Linked DNA regions of Macaca fascicularis. Each later gene encodes a partner of the first gene's protein in a complex. Links are inferred from orthologs where the notes say so. Each region holds a gene or a part of one and is shown in the gene's direction. Other genes may lie near its edges.

Region 1 (3,557 bases):
AATTTGAATGTCTCTCTTCCTTGCCTCTTTTAAAGTAGAGAAGCAAAAATAGAGACCTCAGGAAAAACAGAAGGGAAACAATAATCTGGTCCTCTTTTTACTTACACAAAGCCCTCAAACCCCATATTTGGATAGGATAACCTTTGGATATATTAGATGATTATTTAATAAGCATTTGCATGAGGAGCATGTAATATGCAAAACTTTTCAAGTATTTGGGCACTTTTAATGAATTGGTTGTAAAATTACTATTATTTTCAGCAGAATGCAACAGTCAAGGGATTCATGATGATGTAAATAAGTGTAAAGTTATTTATGTGTGACACTTTTATACTTATAATTACATAATAACAAAAACACATTCAGAAAATACACATTCACTAAATAAAGTAGATTTAGAATTTAGACTTTTCTGGAAGATATACCATTATAAATCTTTGGAGTCTGTGGCTAAAAACTTTAAAGGCATCATTAGATGAATAGGAAGACTGGCATTCCACAAATTCTAATCATTAATGTATGGGATTTTGTGTGGAGGGGAGAAAGTTCCATGTTTCCTGAGCTAAAACTATTGTTTTACATGTCAATTCATAAACAAGTAAATATTGTTTTTTTCTTCTCACAGGTTAGTTGCAAAGTGTCCCAGTTCATTCATCTTTACCTGATGGGCTGTAATTACTTTTGGATGCTCTGTGAAGGCATTTACCTACACACACTCATCGTGGTGGCTGTGTTTGCAGAGAAGCAACACTTAATGTGGTATTATTTTCTTGGCTGGGGTAAGTGTTATTATACATACTTGTTGATTCAATGGATTAAAAAAGCCTTTGGAGGATGCCAGGTTCCTTTGTAATACGAATATACCAATGAGTAATCATTTTTAAAGTATCAGGTGATTAACTTTTGCCTATTATTGCAAATTGCAACATTTTAAGCAAAGAATCACTGACTCATCTATTGTTTTCAGTAGTCACAAGTCAATATATAATAGTGTCTTTTTTTCTATTGAATATGCCAATGAAGAGGGTAACTTGACTGACTATGTAGTGACTAAAACAATAGAAGTAGAATGATAAATTAAAGATTTAGTCTTTTTACTATTCTGAATATTCATTTTTGCCACGTGTAAAATGAGAGCATTGGATTTAAACATCTTTGAAGTTCCATTCTAAAAATATTTGTTTAAAATATTGTCATTTTATGATAAGAGTAGAGGGATTAGTAATTGAATAAAGGCATGCAACAGATTTATTTTTTTCCACACAATCTTCTGATGTGGCATTATTCACAAAGAAAACAGTGATATACTTCTGACATACTAAAAATAACTGGAATAATACAAAATATGAAGTGCAGAAATGAATTTAACAGGACTAGTTTCCAGAAACAAAACTGAAGTTGTACTTATCTATTATCATATATCTACCCTACCATCTATCTATCTATCTATCTATCTATCTATCTATCTATCTATCTATCTATCTATCTATCTATCTGTCTGTCTGTCTGTCTGTCTGTCTATCTATCTATCTATCTATCTATCTATCTATCTATATCTATCTCTATCATCTATCTATCTATCTATCTATCTCTATCATCTATCTAAGCTATCATCTATATCTAGAAAGAAAAACATATACAGAGGTGTAATATACACACACACGCACACACACAATTTTAGTGTATTCTGATTGACTTTATAAAGCATTGCTTAATTTCATATTTGGAAGAGCTGATTTAGAATGTTCAAAGCCTGCCAAATTTTTGGTACATAAATTAATCTCTTTTTTTTCTCCTCTTCTTCAAATAATGGCTTACTAGTAGTAATCTCTCTCATAGTGGAAGTTCTTGTGATTCTCACCTTTTTTCCACATCTGATAATGTACCAAATATTGGCCAATTCCATCTCACAGAAAGTACATGAATGCTGAATTTCTTCTAATCCTTGTGGCTTAGGAAACACATCTTAAGAGTTAAGTTCTGAAGTCCACTGATTCAAAATGACCTATGAATTATAGTAGAAGAAAACATACACACACATACACACAAACATAAAAATGTAAATATCTAATACTTTATAATGTGTATTGTTGACTATACAAATAATGTTTATTCAACAAATATACAGTGGCTAGTTTTTTTGCTTCTAGAGTATCTTTGAATTTTTGTATTTAATTATATATTTTTGAAATACCATCTGTAGAAAAAAATCCAATTTATTTTCTTTTTCTTTGGTATTATAGGATTTCCACTGATTCCTGCTTGTATACATGCCATTGCTAGAAGCTTATATTACAATGACAAGTAAGAAAATCTCTTTTTATTATTTCTACTGGAATAATGTAAAATAAAAATTTTCAACATAATGTTTTTATGTTTTCTCTAGTTGCTGGATCAGTTCTGATACCCATCTCCTCTATATTATCCATGGCCCAATTTGTGCTGCTTTACTGGTATGTAACAAATTCTCCTTTCCTTATCATTGCTCACATTTCAACTTTATTTCTGAACCATCTGGCCTATGATATCCTTCAGGGTCCCAGTGGACACAGATGGATATGCATGTTCACAGTGCTTAAATGAGTAGAGTTTAGTGAAGGTATCATATTTGATGTATAGGCAGGAAAGGCAAAGTAACTAATTAGTAAGGGATGGTGAGCCATTGGGGATCAACAGTGGAATGCTGTTATCACAGGTAGACCTGAAGAGAGAAGTGTTAGTGTAGTGAAATGAGCACTGGGAGGAGTCACCCAGTAAGAGATCTGATTTTGATTGGAGAAAAACAACCACTGCCAAAACCACAGCCTGGCAGAATAGAGGCAGCAGAAACAAAGACTCGAATTTATCTTTATTCCCATACTCTTATCTTTTTTTCCCCCATTAGCCAGATGCAGCAAATGTCTCAGGGCAAGGAAGTCTGGGTGAAGCTGTTCACAGACATCAGCCTCCTGTGGCACAGAGAGGAATAGAGGATGAATTAGCAGGGGGGTGGGAGGTGACAAACAAGATAAAACAAAATACTTATGTAAATTTTACATTATAATTATTATCACTTAATGTCAGTGCACCAATTAGACATTTTAGTGTGATTGCAGAAAAACAGAAGTCACATTCGATGCTTTTATTACACTATTATTATTTTTTATTATTTTAATTGAAAAAAAGTCTTGCTCTGTTGCCCAGACTAGAGTGCAGTGGAATGATCATAGCTCACTGCAGCCCCTAACTCCTGGGTTTAACGGATCCTCCCACCTCAGGCTCCTGAGAAGCTAAGACTAGGTATACACTACTATGCTTGGATAAGTTTTTAAAACATTTTTATAGAGACGGATCTCACTATGTTCCCCAGGCTGGTCTCAAACTCCTGGGCTCCAGGGATCCTTCTGTCTTGGCCTCCACAACTGCTGGGATTACAAGTGTATTACATTATTTGAATGAGAAAGTAAATTAATACAAACTAGCAATCTAGTATGCTTTGTCTCAGAGAGTATTAGAGATCATAATGCAATTACAGTCCTTCAGAGTGGTATTTTAGTTACAGCTGCTATTCATTTTTT
Region 2 (4,072 bases), on another chromosome or scaffold:
GCACACATGGATGTGTGTGCCTCACACGGCCGCACCTTGGTGTGCCCAGGGCGGGTCAGGAGAGGGCTCCCACCCAGACCGGGGTAGGGGTACCCAGTGGGTGGTAATGATGAGGAGAGTCTCACGTTTCACTTGTTTAAATTTCTTTTTTTTTTTAATTTTTGAGACGGAGTCTCACTCTGTCGCCCAAGCTGGAATGCAATGGCACGATCTCAGCTCACTGTAACCTCCACCGCCTGGGTTCAAGCCTCAGCCTTTCCTGCCTCAGCCTCCCAAGTGGCTGAGATTACAGGGACCCGCCACCAAGCCCAGCTAATTTTTTTGGGGGGGGTTCGGAGGCGGAGTCTAGCTCTGTCCCCCAGGCTGGAGTGCAGTGGCTCCGCCTCCCGGGTTCACACCATTCTCCTGCCTCAGCTTCCCGAGTAGCTGGGACTACAGGCGCCCGCCACCACGCCCGGCTCATTTTTTGTATTTTTAATAGAGAGGGAGTTTCACCGTGTTAGCCAGGATGGTCTTGATCTCCTGACCTCGTGATCCACTCGCCTCGGCCTCCCACAGTGCTGGGATTACAAGCGTGAGCCTCCGCGCCCCACCGGCCCATGACCAGCTAATTTTATTTTTAGTAGAGACGGGTTTCTCCATGTTGGCCAGGCTAGTCTCAAACTCCAGGCCTCAGGTGATCCGCCCGCCTCGGCTTCCCAAATTGCTGGAATTACCGGAGTGAGCCACCGCGCCCGGACACTTGTTTAGATTTGTTACAGAAACCGTGCAATACTTTGGTCTGGGGTTGGAGCGGCTGGCGGTAGGTAGAGCTTTTTAGGAGCGCAGCCCCGGGTTTGGGGACACCGCGTCAGACGATAGCGGAATCCCGCGGACTCCCTGGTCAGGCCCGGGTCCGGGGTCCACCGGATCAGACCCTGGAGGGTGGGACCGCCAGGACCCACCAATCGGGAGGTGGTTGACAGGGTGAGAGTCCGCCCCAGCCGTGGGATCAGCTTGGACTACGGCTCGCCCCCTAGAACCCCGCTTCAGCCTGGGGAAGACCGGCCCCCCCAGGCTCGGGGCTGCGTCCCCACTAGAAGGCGCCTGGAGTGAGGCTGGCAGCCCCGCGGTCCCGGGCCCGTCGCCGAGCGCTCCCGGCGGGAACAGCCCCCTCCCCGCCCCGGAGCGTGGCTTAGCCCGGGGCAGGGGCGCCCCGCCCCGTCCGTGCACCCGGCTCCGCCCCTTGCTGGAAAGGCTACGTATTCAGCTCCAGAGGTGCCATCCGGGCCGCGACTCTGCTCCAGACAGGACCCCCAACCCGCCCAGCCCGCTCCGCCTTGCGCTCTGGACCCGCGGCCGACCCCAGACCCGCTGCCCGCTTCGCGCCCGAGGCCTGCGCCCCGACGGACGCCCGTGCCCAGCTTGCCATACCCACGCCCGGTGCCCCGACCGCGGAGGGCTCCCCGAGGTGCCGGCGGAGGGGGTGGCTCGCGGCTCAGGCTGCCCCCGACCTGCCCGGCTCACCGCTCCCTCCCCCGCAGCGCCGCCCGCCATGGCCCGGATCCCGACGGCCGCCCTGGGTTGCATCAGCCTCCTCTGCCTGCAGCTCCCTGGCGTGCTGTCCCGCAGCCTGGGCGGGGACCCGCGTCCCGTCAAACCCAGGTGAGTCCAGGTCTTGGGCCAGCCAGCCCCTCTGGCCCCCACAGGGAAGCAGAGTGCCGGGGGCCGCCCTCCCTCCAACCGCCACCTGCTGCTAGGGCTCCCGTCCCAAACCAAGGCCCCTGCCCCAGGCTCAGCAGCGCCTGAGCAGGGCCAGAGGACCCTCTTCCTCTGCCTCCCTGCACAGGGCAGTTGCTTCTCCCCACACAGGTGGACACAGCAGCCCCTTTTCTGGGGGTGTCTGCTGGGGGAGGGAAGGCTGGCGGTATCCCCAGGCCCACCTGTGACCAAAGGGAGGGCAGAAGCTGAGTCACCCTGAGCCCTGAGAGTGGTGACCCGCAGAGGCTGGGCCGCGGGGGTGCCCTTTGCTCAAGGAGGTGCCGGTTCCCAGGACACGTGACCCGGGCCACTGAGATGGTCCCAGGCCCCAAGCCCAGAGGGGACGCGTGGGCTTCCCCTGGCTATGCTCCAGGCTGTGTGTGGGTGGGGGCCGTGGGCTTCCCCTGGCAGTGACCCAGGCCTGTGTAGAGGCAAAAGTGGGTAGGTGTGAGGTCTCTGAAAGGCTGAGCCATCCAGTTGACATTCTCCATCTGCCTCTGCAGGGAGCCCCCAGCCCGGACCCCTTCCAGCAACCTGCAGCCCAGGCACCCCGCACCCCGACCTGTGGTTTGGAAGCTTCACCAGGCCCTCCAGCCACAGAGGGGTGCTGGCCTGGCCCCTGCTATGGGTCAGCCTCTCCGGGATGGTGGCCGCCAACACTCGGGCCCCCGAAGACACTCGGGCTCCCGCAGGACCCAAGCCCAGCTCCTGCGAGTGGGCTGTGTGCTGGGCACCTGTCAGGTGCAGAATCTCAGCCACCGCCTGTGGCAACTCATGGGACCGGCTGGCCGGCAGGACTCAGCTCCTGTGGACCCCAGCAGCCCCCACAGCTATGGCTGAAGTGGGGCTGGGCCACACCCCTGGCCATCCCAGCCAGGGTGCTGTGCCCCCGTCCAGAGCTGCAGCTGAGCCCCCTCCGCAGCCCAGTCCCGCGGAGCTGCAGACAGCAGGTCCTGCAGCAACAATGCCTGCACGGCGTCGCACACGTAAACCCTTGCACACCTGTAGACCGAGGCTGGTCTATATGCAGTGCTGGTATGTCAAGGAGCCTAAACACCCTGAAATTGTAAACCCTTGGGGGATGGCTGCCAGACCCAGCTGGTGGCAGCACCAGATGCTAAAAAGCGTTTTAAAAAGGAGGCATCTGCCAGGGACGTGGAGCAGAAGCTGGGCCCTGAACCCACAGGGCCACGTCTGGACGAACAGGGGAGAGGGGCTGAATTGGCCGGAAGCGGCCCCTCCACTGCTGGTCCAGTCAGACTGAAGCCCGGCCTTGTGCCTGGGCTGTTCCTGCTGTCATGCACAACCAGCCCTTCCACGTGCCTGCCTGGCCGGGGGTCCCAGCCTCTCCCTCCCCATGCCTTTGGGACAGGACAGGGAGTGTGGGATGCTATAGCCCCCTGGGGTTGGGCAAGGGAAGGATGGTGGCCCTCCAGAGGTCATGAAGGGACCTCTGTGGCTCCAGCTGCCAACCCTGGAGCCCAGACTGAGGTAGCCATGGGGACTCCATCTGGATGCCCTGTGGGAGGCCGGGGAGGGGAACTCAGCAGTTCAGAAGCCACCCCAAACCATTCTGGGACAGGGACACCCCTTCCTACCCCAGGACAGGGCAGGGCTGGGTGAGGCAAGATCCCCCAGCCCAAATAGACCCACCCCACCTCAAGGGGGTGAGACCCTTGTTGGCAGCCAGACAAGGGTGGGGCTCCACAGGCAACCCAGGCGCCCCACCACCACCCAGTGTGGGGGCCCAGTGGAACCAGGTGTGGGGGCAGCAGGTGACTCGCCAAGAGCCCGGGAGGGCAGCCCAGCCCCAAATGACAAGAACAAGAACCACTGCCAGTGTGCACGGACTTGGTGTGTGTTCTTCCCCGGGGAGATGGGGGCTCATGTGCGTGTGCCACTCGAGGCTCCCAGTCGTCCAGCAGAACGCGGGGTTCAGAAAGGGTTCCTTCCGCTACTTAGCAAACACTCAGCATTTAATTTGCAAATGTTTGCTAGGGTCACCCTCTCAGCCACCCCATGAGGGTCACCATGATCACCCCAACTCTAGAGGCTACAGCAGAGCTCAGGACATTCCCCCACAGCCTGCCCCTCAGTGACTACCTCCAAAGGGGAGGGTCCTGGAAGCGCCCACCCAGGCGCCGCCTCTGTGCTTGCTCCCTGAGCTCAGGGATCGCCGGGTCCAGGTAACTGACCTGTGCTCCATGAGGCCCTGTGGGAACAGTCCAGGCTGATCCTGCCCTGTGGAGGCCTCCGTGCACTGGGAGATGGACTAGGGTTGCAGCAGAGGTGGTCAGGGTGGTGGGCCGCACAGCAAGGCAGTCAAGGCCGG
Region 3 (4,166 bases), on another chromosome or scaffold:
TCTGCTCCCAAATAAGGGTCTTGTTAAATAAAGTGGGTCTTTCTAAGCCAGGAGAAGGTCAGCTCAGCTCCTGGGAAGGTAGCAGTACCTACGGCTCAGAGGAGTGGAGGGCCCATCCGTGTGGGAGCCTGGGCCTGTGCTCCAACCTCAGACCAGCATGCGCCCCCAGGGGTGGTGGGTGGGCCCTGGAGGGCAGAGAGGGGCCTCTAGCTGGCTCTCGGAAGTCCTGGCCAGTGACAATTCTGCAGACACCATCAAGTGTCCACTGGAGCCAGGGCCTGTGCTAGGGGCTGAGGATGACAGAGGCGACCCATCTGGCTAAGTGACCTGTGGCTGGAGAAACTGAGGCCTTCCTTCCCCTCAGGAACCCTGACACTCTCCGAGGCCAGGTCTTTGGGGGCGCCAGATACTCTTGTCCCTCGGTTTGCTTGTGGCTTGGTCCTTGATGTGTGATATATCTCTGTGTGTAGCTGCCACATCCTCCAGTCTCTCTCATACACACTGTTTCCCAAGCACACACTCACAAACACACCTTGTCTCAGACTCAAACTCACACATGCCACACACACACCATACATCACACACTCCATGCACACACATGCATCTACACATACTCCACATGCACATCACACACATATTCCATGAACACCACACACACACACACACACACACACACACACACACCCCAACCTCCTTCATGCACTTTCCTGACCCTTGGAGACCTGGCTCCTAGATGTGTCTCTGCTCAAAGGTCCCCTCCCTGCCTGGGGGCAGCTCTGGACTCTGGTCTACTTTCGGCCAGGGCACACCTAGCCCACCCCCAGGTCCACCTTCCTCCAGTCTACCCGCAGCCTCCTCTAGGCCATCATCAGTCCGCGCTTCATCCACACCTCAGCTCCCTCCCCGGTCTACCCCCACACTCTGCCCCCAGCCTGGACGGAAGTTCCCCAAGTCCTTCCAGCCTGCAGCCCAGCCTACCATCAGCCGGCCCCCACTCTCACTCCAGCTCACCTCCCAGCCTGCCCCTGCAGTCTGCTCCCAAAACGCTCCTTTGCAGCTCAGCACCCCAGTCCCGCCCTCAGAGCCGGCACCCCACCTTACCCCAGCTAGTCCCCAGCTCGAAACCCAGCCCTCACCCCACTCTCACCCCCGCTGAGATTCCAGCCCAGACTCCAGCCGCCCCCTGTCCCTCCCACCCGGCGCGCCTGCAAGGCCTGCACCCCACATCTGGAGGTAACGGGCACGGCTGGAGGCGTGGTCTGGGGGGTGCGGCCTGGGGGCGGACTCCCTGAGGCCCCGCCCCACCCCAATCCCATCCGGGCGTCCCCGGTTGCACCCCCAGCCGGACCAAGCGTGACCCAGCCGCGGCCGGCCAGCCATGGAGACTGGAGCGCGGCGGCGCCCGCAACTTCTCCCGCTGCTGCTGCTGCTCTGCGGTAAGGGGGCGTCGACCCGCACCGGAGGCGCCCCCACTTCCCGGAGTTCATCGGACCCGCGTGGACCCGCGCCTTCCTGCACCTGCGCCGCAGTCCTTCCTTTCCCCCTGAGCTCGGGAGGGGCGCACAGCGACCCTGGCGGGCTCCCCAGGCTCTGCGGGAGGGTTCACCCGGGAGAAGCTGAAGGCAAAGAACTCTGGCGGGCAAGGGAGGCACAGGGTCCCCTCCGGGCTCTTCTGCCGGCGGGGTCCGGCAGTCCCCGCTCCTCCTAGTTGTGATGTCCCCCCACGCCCCAGTTCTGGGGTCGCCTCAGGGTGGGCGAGAGAGGAGGCGGACCAGGCCTGGCTCTTTCCCCCTTCCCCCTAGGATGGGTTGTCGGTGAGGTAGTGAGCTCCCTGTCCTGGCATTGAGTGCCTGCCCACCACTCACAGGGGCGTGGGCGGGTGGACTCCGGACTGCGTAGCTGGTCCTAGCAGGGCCCTTCAGTGTGTGGACGCTTGTGTGTGTCTTGGAACTGGCTGACAGGGGAAGCGGGGCGACTCTCTGAGCCATCCTCTCCTAATGTCTTCTTCCGCAATAAATCAGGACTCTGGGGAGAACCGTTGCTCACAAAATGGAAACAGATTAAACTAAAAGCTTATTTTGAACTACCTTACTAAAGAAATTATCCAAGAGAAAGTGAGAGAGAGAGAGAGAGAGAGAGAGGAGGGGGGGGGAGAGAGAGAGAGAGAGAGAGAGAGAATGTGTGTAAGGGCTGTTGGGGAAGAGTGCTTGCTGAGGGCTGGAGTACACTAAGTGGCGACTGAGCCTGGCCAGTTCTGGGGGGACACTGGTGAGGGAGGGCCCTGGTCTGGTGGTCCCCAGTTTCCCTGACTGTAAGATGCAGCGTTGGGCCTGTTTTGATGATTTGGGATTTGGTAAGGGAGGTGGGAAAAGGGTGGACCAAACTCAGTGTTCATTTTCCTTCCATTGAAGAGGTCTTGGTGTGCAGAACATGTGTGGCTTCATTTGGTGTTCCAGGGCTGGAGCCTAGGACGTGGTTCATTTTGTGTTGAAGTGCAAAGGTGCGTGGCAGCTTCTGAAATCAGGAACATGCTGATTTGGGATTTCAGCAAACTTCCAGTGAGCTCCCCTCAGGTGGAGATCTTGGTCACTATAATGGAAGGAAGGTCCTCTGAATTCATTCTGGGAGAAGCTGAGGCTTTCCTAACCATCTCCAGTATGGAATTGAGAAGGACCACAGGCTTCCGCCTGCACAGAATCCCTCCTCTTAATAATCCTGTCTCTTGTGGACCCAGTTCCTGAGGGTCACTTCTTTGTCTTGTTGTGTTGGTCCTGACTGTCCCCCTCCAATGGGACATGGGTTCATGCTCCCTGGCCAGAATGGGGACCAGGCCCAGCTTCTCAGCAGACCCTCCCAGTGTTTGCCTGGCCAGAGTGAGATTCAGAGAGAGGTAAAACTTGCTCATGGTTCCAGGCTGATGTGTCAGAGGTGGGACTGGAGCCCACATCTGCCCTGGATGCTGCTGTATCTGGAAGGAAGGAGCTGGGTGGGTTCCTCTTGAGTGAGGACTGGCTCAGGGGGACCAGCAGGGAGGGTGCTGACCTCTGGGGCTTCTTTGAGAATTCCAAACCTTTTTCCAGAAAGCATTTGATGCTGTGCAGGGCTGTGGGGATGCAAAGTCCAGCAGTTGTCTACTCAGCAGGATGCTTTGCTGTTTTCTATTTTGATTCAGTTCCTGCGACTTTTACTAATGCAGCCAGTAGTCCAGCCCTTGACTGGACTCTTTTGGTCTGGGTGAAAATCCCGATCATGATCCCAAGATTACAAAGCACTCACTGGCCTCAGTTTCCCAGCTGCAATGTAGATGTAATAGTAGCAACCTGCAAAGGGCTGCTGAGACCGTCAGTTTGATTCCATTCAGTTTAGTCTTTATCGTCTTGTGTTGGGCATGGGATTGTGGGGTGGAAGGATTCATGCTTAAACAAGGGGAGGTGTAGGAAGGCACCCACCAGTGACTGCACTGGGCCTCATGAGGCTCACTCACAGCACCCAAAGATGGAGCACCATAGTGTGTGTGCCTGTGTGTGCAAGCATGGTACCACCATTTTTATCACTAAATGATGTCCTGCTACCATGTTACCTGTGGTCACATTGATTCTGCTGAATCAAGTGGGCCCAAGGGCCGTGGTTGGATAGCAGTAACTCTGGTGAATTAAAGACTTGGAGGTGGCAGGCCGGGGGCAGTGGCTCACGCCTGTAATCTCAGCACTTTGGGAGGCCGAGCAGATCACGAGGTCAGGAGTTTGAGACCATCCTGGCCAACATGGTGAAACCCCATCTCTACTAAAAATACAAAAAATTAGCTGGGTGTGGTGATGCATGCCTGTAGTCTCAGCTACTCGGGAGGCTGAGACAGGGGAATCACTTGAACCTGGGAGGCGGAGATTGCAGTGAGCCGAGATTGTGCCATTGCACTCCAGCCTGGTGACAAAGCGAGATTCTGTCAAAAAAAAAAAAAAAAAAAAAAAAAAAAAAAAGAAGACTTGATGGTGGTGATTGGCCAAGAAGAGGCCCATAGATTTTTGGCACTGGAGGTTCCTTGGAGGTTATCTGACCTCCATGCTCTTACCTACTCTTCATAAGGAAACAGAAGTCTGGAGGGTTGAGAGGAAGTTGCCCAACCACAGAGAACAGGGGCAGAACCACCCAGAATCCACAGCCTCCCA
Region 4 (4,202 bases), on another chromosome or scaffold:
GGTGCATATCACTATGCCAGGCTAATTTAAAATTATTATTATTTTTTTTTTGTAGAGACAAGGCTTCACTATGATGCCCAGGCTCTATTTTAAATCTAACATTTGCTTTTGTCCCCTTTAATCTTGACCCCAACCCCAGTCCTAACCCATAGTGGGCTCATGTGCTTCTGGCCCCAACCCAGTGAAAATGGCTTGTTTTGCTTTCTGCACCTCCTTGCTCCCTCCTCCCATCTTATCACCCAGAAATCTACCATGTTTCCTTCTTGAAAGGAGCAATCCTAGGCAGGCAGGAAGGACTAGATTTGGTCCCAGCCTGAAACGTCTTGGAGACTGCCTGGCTCCTTTCTGAATCATTATAGAAATGATCCTTACCAGGAGGACTTTGGAGTTCACGTCAAGCAGGCCATTGACTCTCTCCCACTGGATTCCTTGCAAAAGCAGCCTCTTGACCATAGAGGAGGACAACAGGTTATCTGTGCCCATGATCCAAGAGCTTGAGATCCTGAGATGAAGACTTCAAGAGAGATCATGACAGATAATTTGTGGTGGGCAGTAAACTGGGACAACAGCAGCAGCTGAGTCCAAAGGTCAGTGTCTGGGAGTAATTTAGGAAAGTTTGGTGCTGACAGCTGTGTCTGGGACTTGAACATCATGGCCAAACCAGCTCTTGGGTTCCTCAGCTGCCTCAGAGTAATGAACCTCTGGCCCAGGACACAAGAGGCAACTGTGGTGTGGCCAAAGTCAGGGCCCCTGGAGGCCCAGGCTCAGCCTTGCTGCTTCCTTAACGGTGTGACCTTAGATAAGTCACTTAGGAAAAGAGGAAAGGAAACTAGCATTTAGCGAGTGCAGTGCCCTTTCACAGCTGCCATCGTCACTGTTTGGTGAGGAAGCGAATGTCCCTATTTTACACGAGAAGTCCTAAAGGTAAATGTGTCATTCAAGGCCCTATATCTGGGGAGTAGGAAGGCAGAATTAGAACCCAGAGCCTCTGAATTCAAATCCCGGGCTGTTGGCCCTGAGCTTTAGTTTCTTGGTCTGTAAAATGGTGATACACTCACCAGGCACATGAAGTGGCACACTGAAGGTTCTAAAACCCCTCCCTTCTTTCTCCCAACCGTGGTCCTGAAGAACTGTGGCACCTTCTTCCTGGGAACGTAGCCATCGTATTTTGTCCCCCCCACAACAGGTTTGTGGGGTCTAGGCCCCAGGAGGTATCTGAAGGGAGGGTATTTGGACTTTGTTTTCCCCTCTACCCCACTCCGCAGACCTTTTCCCGACTCCGGAGGGCCGGCTCCCGCTTCTCCTCCCTGGTTTTGGCTGGTGGGCTGACATCAGCGGGTGTTCCTAGGGATAGGATAAGGAACCCTGAGCTGCCCGGCTCAGCTCCAGGCGCCCCTTGCCCCACAACCCAAGACAGCCCTTTAGATGCAGCGGCGTCGAGAGGCCGCTGGAGCTCCCAGCCTCCTCCCTGTTCTCCAGGTCTGGGAGAGCAGCTTGCCGACCCCTACAGACCCGAAAGAGAGAGAGCGCGACTTGAATCCAGGGAGCGATCCTGGGAGACCCTGGAGAGTCCTGGGCGCCACGCAGCCGAGCCCCCGAAATAGATCCCGGTTCCGGGGTTCCGGGAGCTGTCCAGCCTCGCGGGGTGAGCTACGAGAGGGTGGGCCAACGCCGGCGAAGCGGAGGGAGCCGCGGGCGCCAGGCGCGGGTGCGGCAGCTACTCCCCCTCCAGCCTCTGGCCCCGGGCGTCGCCCCCGCCCCCCACGTGGCCGCCGCCGTCCCAGCCCCTCCGAGGAAGCGGCGCGGCTTCCTGCAGCTTGGGCTGGGGATATAGGCGCCCCCACACCCGGGCCCGGCTCAGCGCAGCCGCCGCTCCTCGCCTCCTAGCTGCACGATGGCCTGGCTCCGGGTGGAGCGCGCCGGCGGCCCGCGGCTCCCTAGGACCCGCGCCGGGCGGCCGGCAGCGCTCCGCCTCCTCCTCCTGCTGGGCGGTGAGCGCGGCGCCCCGAGGCCCGGGAGGGAGGCGCGGGAGGCCCCGGAGGGGAGAGGGGAGAGGGGCTGGATGGCCGAGGCCGGAACGGGCCCGGGGTCCGGGTGCGGACCGACGGACCGAGCAGCACTGGCCTTCGGACGGTCCCTGACCCCACCTCGGGGAGGGCGCAGCACGAGCTGCTTCCCACCCGGGGAAAGCTGGGGTGCCGGCCCCGGCCCTGCGGAGAGGGCTTCGGAGGACAGGAGCTGGCCAGAGGTGAGGGGGCTTTGGGCCTGGGTGTGAGTGACTAGGAGCTGGTGCCAGCCCCTCCCTCCCCGGCACTGAGGCGTCCGTGGGGGCTAGATTATTCCTCCTTTTCTTCCAAGGTAGCCCTGTTTACGGAGGGTCTCAGTCCCCCAACCCCGTCGCAGGCTCCACTACCTGGGTCCCCGCTATGCTACCCTCCTCTCCCGTTTCTTCCCACAGCTGTCCTGAAGCCCCATGAGGCCCTGGCTCAGCCTCTTCCCACCACAGGCACAACGGGGTCAGAAGGTGGGTACCCGGGGTGTGGAAGGGTGGCCGAGGGCAAGGACGACAGCAAGTTCAGTGGGGAGGGTCCCTTTCCCACAAGGCCTGCCCCACCCCAGCTGATGCCCCACTAAACTCCCCTCTGTTCTCTCTTGGGGTTCCTTGCAGTCTTTCTCCCTGTCCTCTCACGTGCAGGTCGGCCCCTGCGCGGCTCTGAGCTGCCCACCTCACAAGTGGGCTAGAAGACCCCAGGAAAAGGTGTACGTGGAAGTTCTTATCAGGCTGGGATGGAAAGTGCTTAGCACATGGAAGTCATTACATGATTCCTGAGCTGGGACTCTGTCCTCCGCCAGAATGTCTTGCTAGGGAAACTTTCTGAAGGGTTCCCACGTTTGAAGACAGGCAGTTCACCTTGCAAGCACCTGGGCAGGAGGGTTTGGAGGGAGGGGCAGGGGTGTGGTCATTGTTCAGCATCTGTACCTACAGGGGTGACGGTGAAGAACTATGAGACAGCTGTCCAATGTTGCTGGAATCATTATAAGGATCAAATGGATTCTATCGAAAAGGATTGGTGCGACTGGGCCATGATTAGCAGGTAGGGGCAGTGCTGGAGGGTGGCTCAGGCCAGGGGGTGGGCCTGCTCATTGCAGGTAGACCTTGAGTGAGTGTGGGGCACTCTTCTCCCTGGGCCCACCCCCTCCCTCACTCAAGTCCTCTTCTGCCCCTAGGCCTTACAGCACCCTGCGAGAATGCCTGGAGCACTTTGCGGAGTTGTTTGACCTGGGCTTCCCCAATCCCTTGGCAGAGAGGATCATCTTTGAGACTCACCAGATCCACTTTGCCAACTGCTCCCTGGTGCAGCCCACCTTCTCTGACCCCCCAGAGGATGTACTCCTGGCCATGATCATAGCCCCCATCTGCCTCATCCCCTTCCTTATCACTCTTGTAGTATGGAGGAGTAAAGACAGTGAGGCCCAGGCCTAGGGAGCCACGAGCTTCTCTATAACCACCTTACTCCACTTCCCCACACCAACCAGGCCTCCCTCCTCCCCTCTTACTCCCTTTTCTCACTCTCTTCCCCACCACAGATCCCTGGATTGCTGGGAATGGAAGCCGGGTGGGGTAATGGCACAAGTTCTGTAATCTTCAAAATAAAACTTTTTTTGTACAATGTCCTTCTTCCCATTTCAGTGGAACCTGTGTCCTTCCCTGCCACTCCCATAGGCCCTCAGCTCTGGGTAGTAGAACTGGAAAAATCTGGATGGCCCATTGTTCTGTTCATTTCACCTGCCCCCCTGCTCCCTGCCTCCATGAAGGTCACACCCCTATATTCTTTCCTCCCAGGCGGGCCTTTCCTGTCCTTATCCAAACTCAGCTCCAGGAAACAAGCAGGAAGAGACTCCCTTCCGGTCTGGACAGCAGCTGGGGGCCTGCAACTGAGGAGGTGTGGGGGAAGGGGCAAAGGAAAAATCTGTGCTTGTGACTCCTGCAAGAGGAGCAGGAGGCTGCCCAGGAGCCCTGACTATTCCCCTTCTTCATGCCTCAGTTTACTCCCAGGGCCTGGGAAGAGGAACCCTGACTGAGCAACAGGAATCCATTCCTAAGGACCTCACAAATGTGGGAGAAAGCAGTGGGGGCTTCCTTTACTAGGTTCACAACCCCCCTCCACCTCCCTTGCCCTCATCCTACATTGTCCTGGACT

The links.
Region 2: the proteins of CALCRL (region 1) and ADM2 are in contact, whole or in part, in a cryo-EM structure (PDB 6UVA), measured with the Homo sapiens proteins. The link is inferred for Macaca fascicularis from reciprocal best matches to the Homo sapiens genes CALCRL and ADM2. Residues at the interface, in NP_001258680.1 of Homo sapiens: Val36, Thr37, Lys40, Asp70, Gly71, Trp72, Asp90, Tyr91, Phe92, Gln93, Asp94, Phe95, Asp96, Pro97, Ser98, His114, Ala116, Ser117, Thr120, Trp121, Thr122, Tyr124, Thr125, Asn128, Thr131, Lys134, Val135, Ala138, Leu139, Leu141; in NP_001240774.1 of Homo sapiens: Leu106, Arg107, Val108, Gly109, Cys110, Val111, Leu112, Gly113, Thr114, Cys115, Gln116, Val117, Gln118, Asn119, Leu120, Ser121, His122, Arg123, Leu124, Trp125, Gln126, Leu127, Met128, Gly129, Pro130, Ala131, Gly132, Arg133, Gln134, Asp135.
Region 3: the proteins of CALCRL (region 1) and RAMP3 are in contact, whole or in part, in a cryo-EM structure (PDB 6UVA), measured with the Homo sapiens proteins. The link is inferred for Macaca fascicularis from reciprocal best matches to the Homo sapiens genes CALCRL and RAMP3. Residues at the interface, in NP_001258680.1 of Homo sapiens: Arg38, Asn39, Met42, Thr43, Gln45, Tyr46, Glu47, Tyr49, Gln50, Met53, Trp69, Asp70, Ser117, Arg119, Thr120, Phe228, Leu231, Ile235, His238, Thr239, Val243, Val245, Lys249, Gln250, His251, Trp254, Tyr255, Phe257, Leu258, Phe262; in NP_005847.1 of Homo sapiens: Trp56, Cys57, Leu59, Phe62, Ile63, Tyr66, Glu67, Thr70, Cys82, Tyr83, Pro85, Asn86, Pro87, Leu88, Gln90, Ile93, Thr94, His97, Arg98, Cys104, Thr105, Val106, Asp107, Arg108, His110, Leu111, Glu112, Asp113, Pro114, Val118.
Region 4: the proteins of CALCRL (region 1) and RAMP2 are in contact, whole or in part, in a crystal structure (PDB 3AQF), measured with the Homo sapiens proteins. The link is inferred for Macaca fascicularis from reciprocal best matches to the Homo sapiens genes CALCRL and RAMP2. Residues at the interface, in NP_001258680.1 of Homo sapiens: Arg38, Asn39, Ile41, Met42, Thr43, Gln45, Tyr46, Glu47, Tyr49, Gln50, Lys51, Ile52, Met53, Gln54, Trp69, Asp70, Gly71, Arg119; in NP_005845.2 of Homo sapiens: Trp86, Ile89, Tyr93, Ser94, Arg97, Leu109, Gly110, Pro112, Glu117, Ile120, Phe121, His124, Gln125, Phe128, Ala129, Cys131, Ser132, Leu133, Val134.

Annotation. Positions count from the first base shown.
Region 1 is NC_088386.1:82,971,048-82,974,604, reverse strand, and holds part of CALCRL (calcitonin gene-related peptide type 1 receptor), read left to right. Parts: intron 1-625; coding exon 626-779; intron 780-2,243; coding exon 2,244-2,304; intron 2,305-2,386; coding exon 2,387-2,453; intron 2,454-3,557. UniProt on the Homo sapiens protein: G protein-coupled receptor which specificity is determined by its interaction with receptor-activity-modifying proteins (RAMPs). Together with RAMP1, form the receptor complex for calcitonin-gene-related peptides CALCA/CGRP1 and CALCB/CGRP2.
Region 2 is NC_088384.1:1,082,206-1,086,277, reverse strand, and holds the start of ADM2 (protein ADM2), read left to right. Parts: upstream 1-1,259; 5' UTR 1,260-1,534; coding exon 1,535-1,644; intron 1,645-2,243; coding exon 2,244-2,580; 3' UTR 2,581-4,072. UniProt on the Homo sapiens protein: Intermedin/ADM2 is a peptide hormone that plays a role as physiological regulator of gastrointestinal and cardiovascular bioactivities mediated by the CALCRL-RAMPs receptor complexes.
Region 3 is NC_088377.1:85,177,154-85,181,319, reverse strand, and holds the start of RAMP3 (receptor activity-modifying protein 3), read left to right. Parts: upstream 1-1,340; 5' UTR 1,341-1,378; coding exon 1,379-1,436; intron 1,437-4,166. UniProt on the Homo sapiens protein: Accessory protein that interacts with and modulates the function of G-protein coupled receptors including calcitonin gene-related peptide type 1 receptor (CALCRL), calcitonin receptor (CALCR) and G-protein coupled estrogen receptor 1 (GPER1).
Region 4 is NC_088390.1:63,817,523-63,821,724, forward strand, and holds RAMP2 (receptor activity-modifying protein 2), read left to right. Parts: upstream 1-1,423; 5' UTR 1,424-1,425; coding exon 1,426-1,645; exon of another isoform or gene 1,646-1,894; coding exon of another isoform or gene 1,895-1,991; intron 1,992-2,458; coding exon 2,459-2,524; intron 2,525-2,986; coding exon 2,987-3,095; intron 3,096-3,228; coding exon 3,229-3,484; 3' UTR 3,485-3,671; downstream 3,672-4,202. UniProt on the Homo sapiens protein: Accessory protein that interacts with and modulates the function of G-protein coupled receptors including calcitonin gene-related peptide type 1 receptor (CALCRL) and calcitonin receptor (CALCR). Required for the transport of CALCRL to the plasma membrane.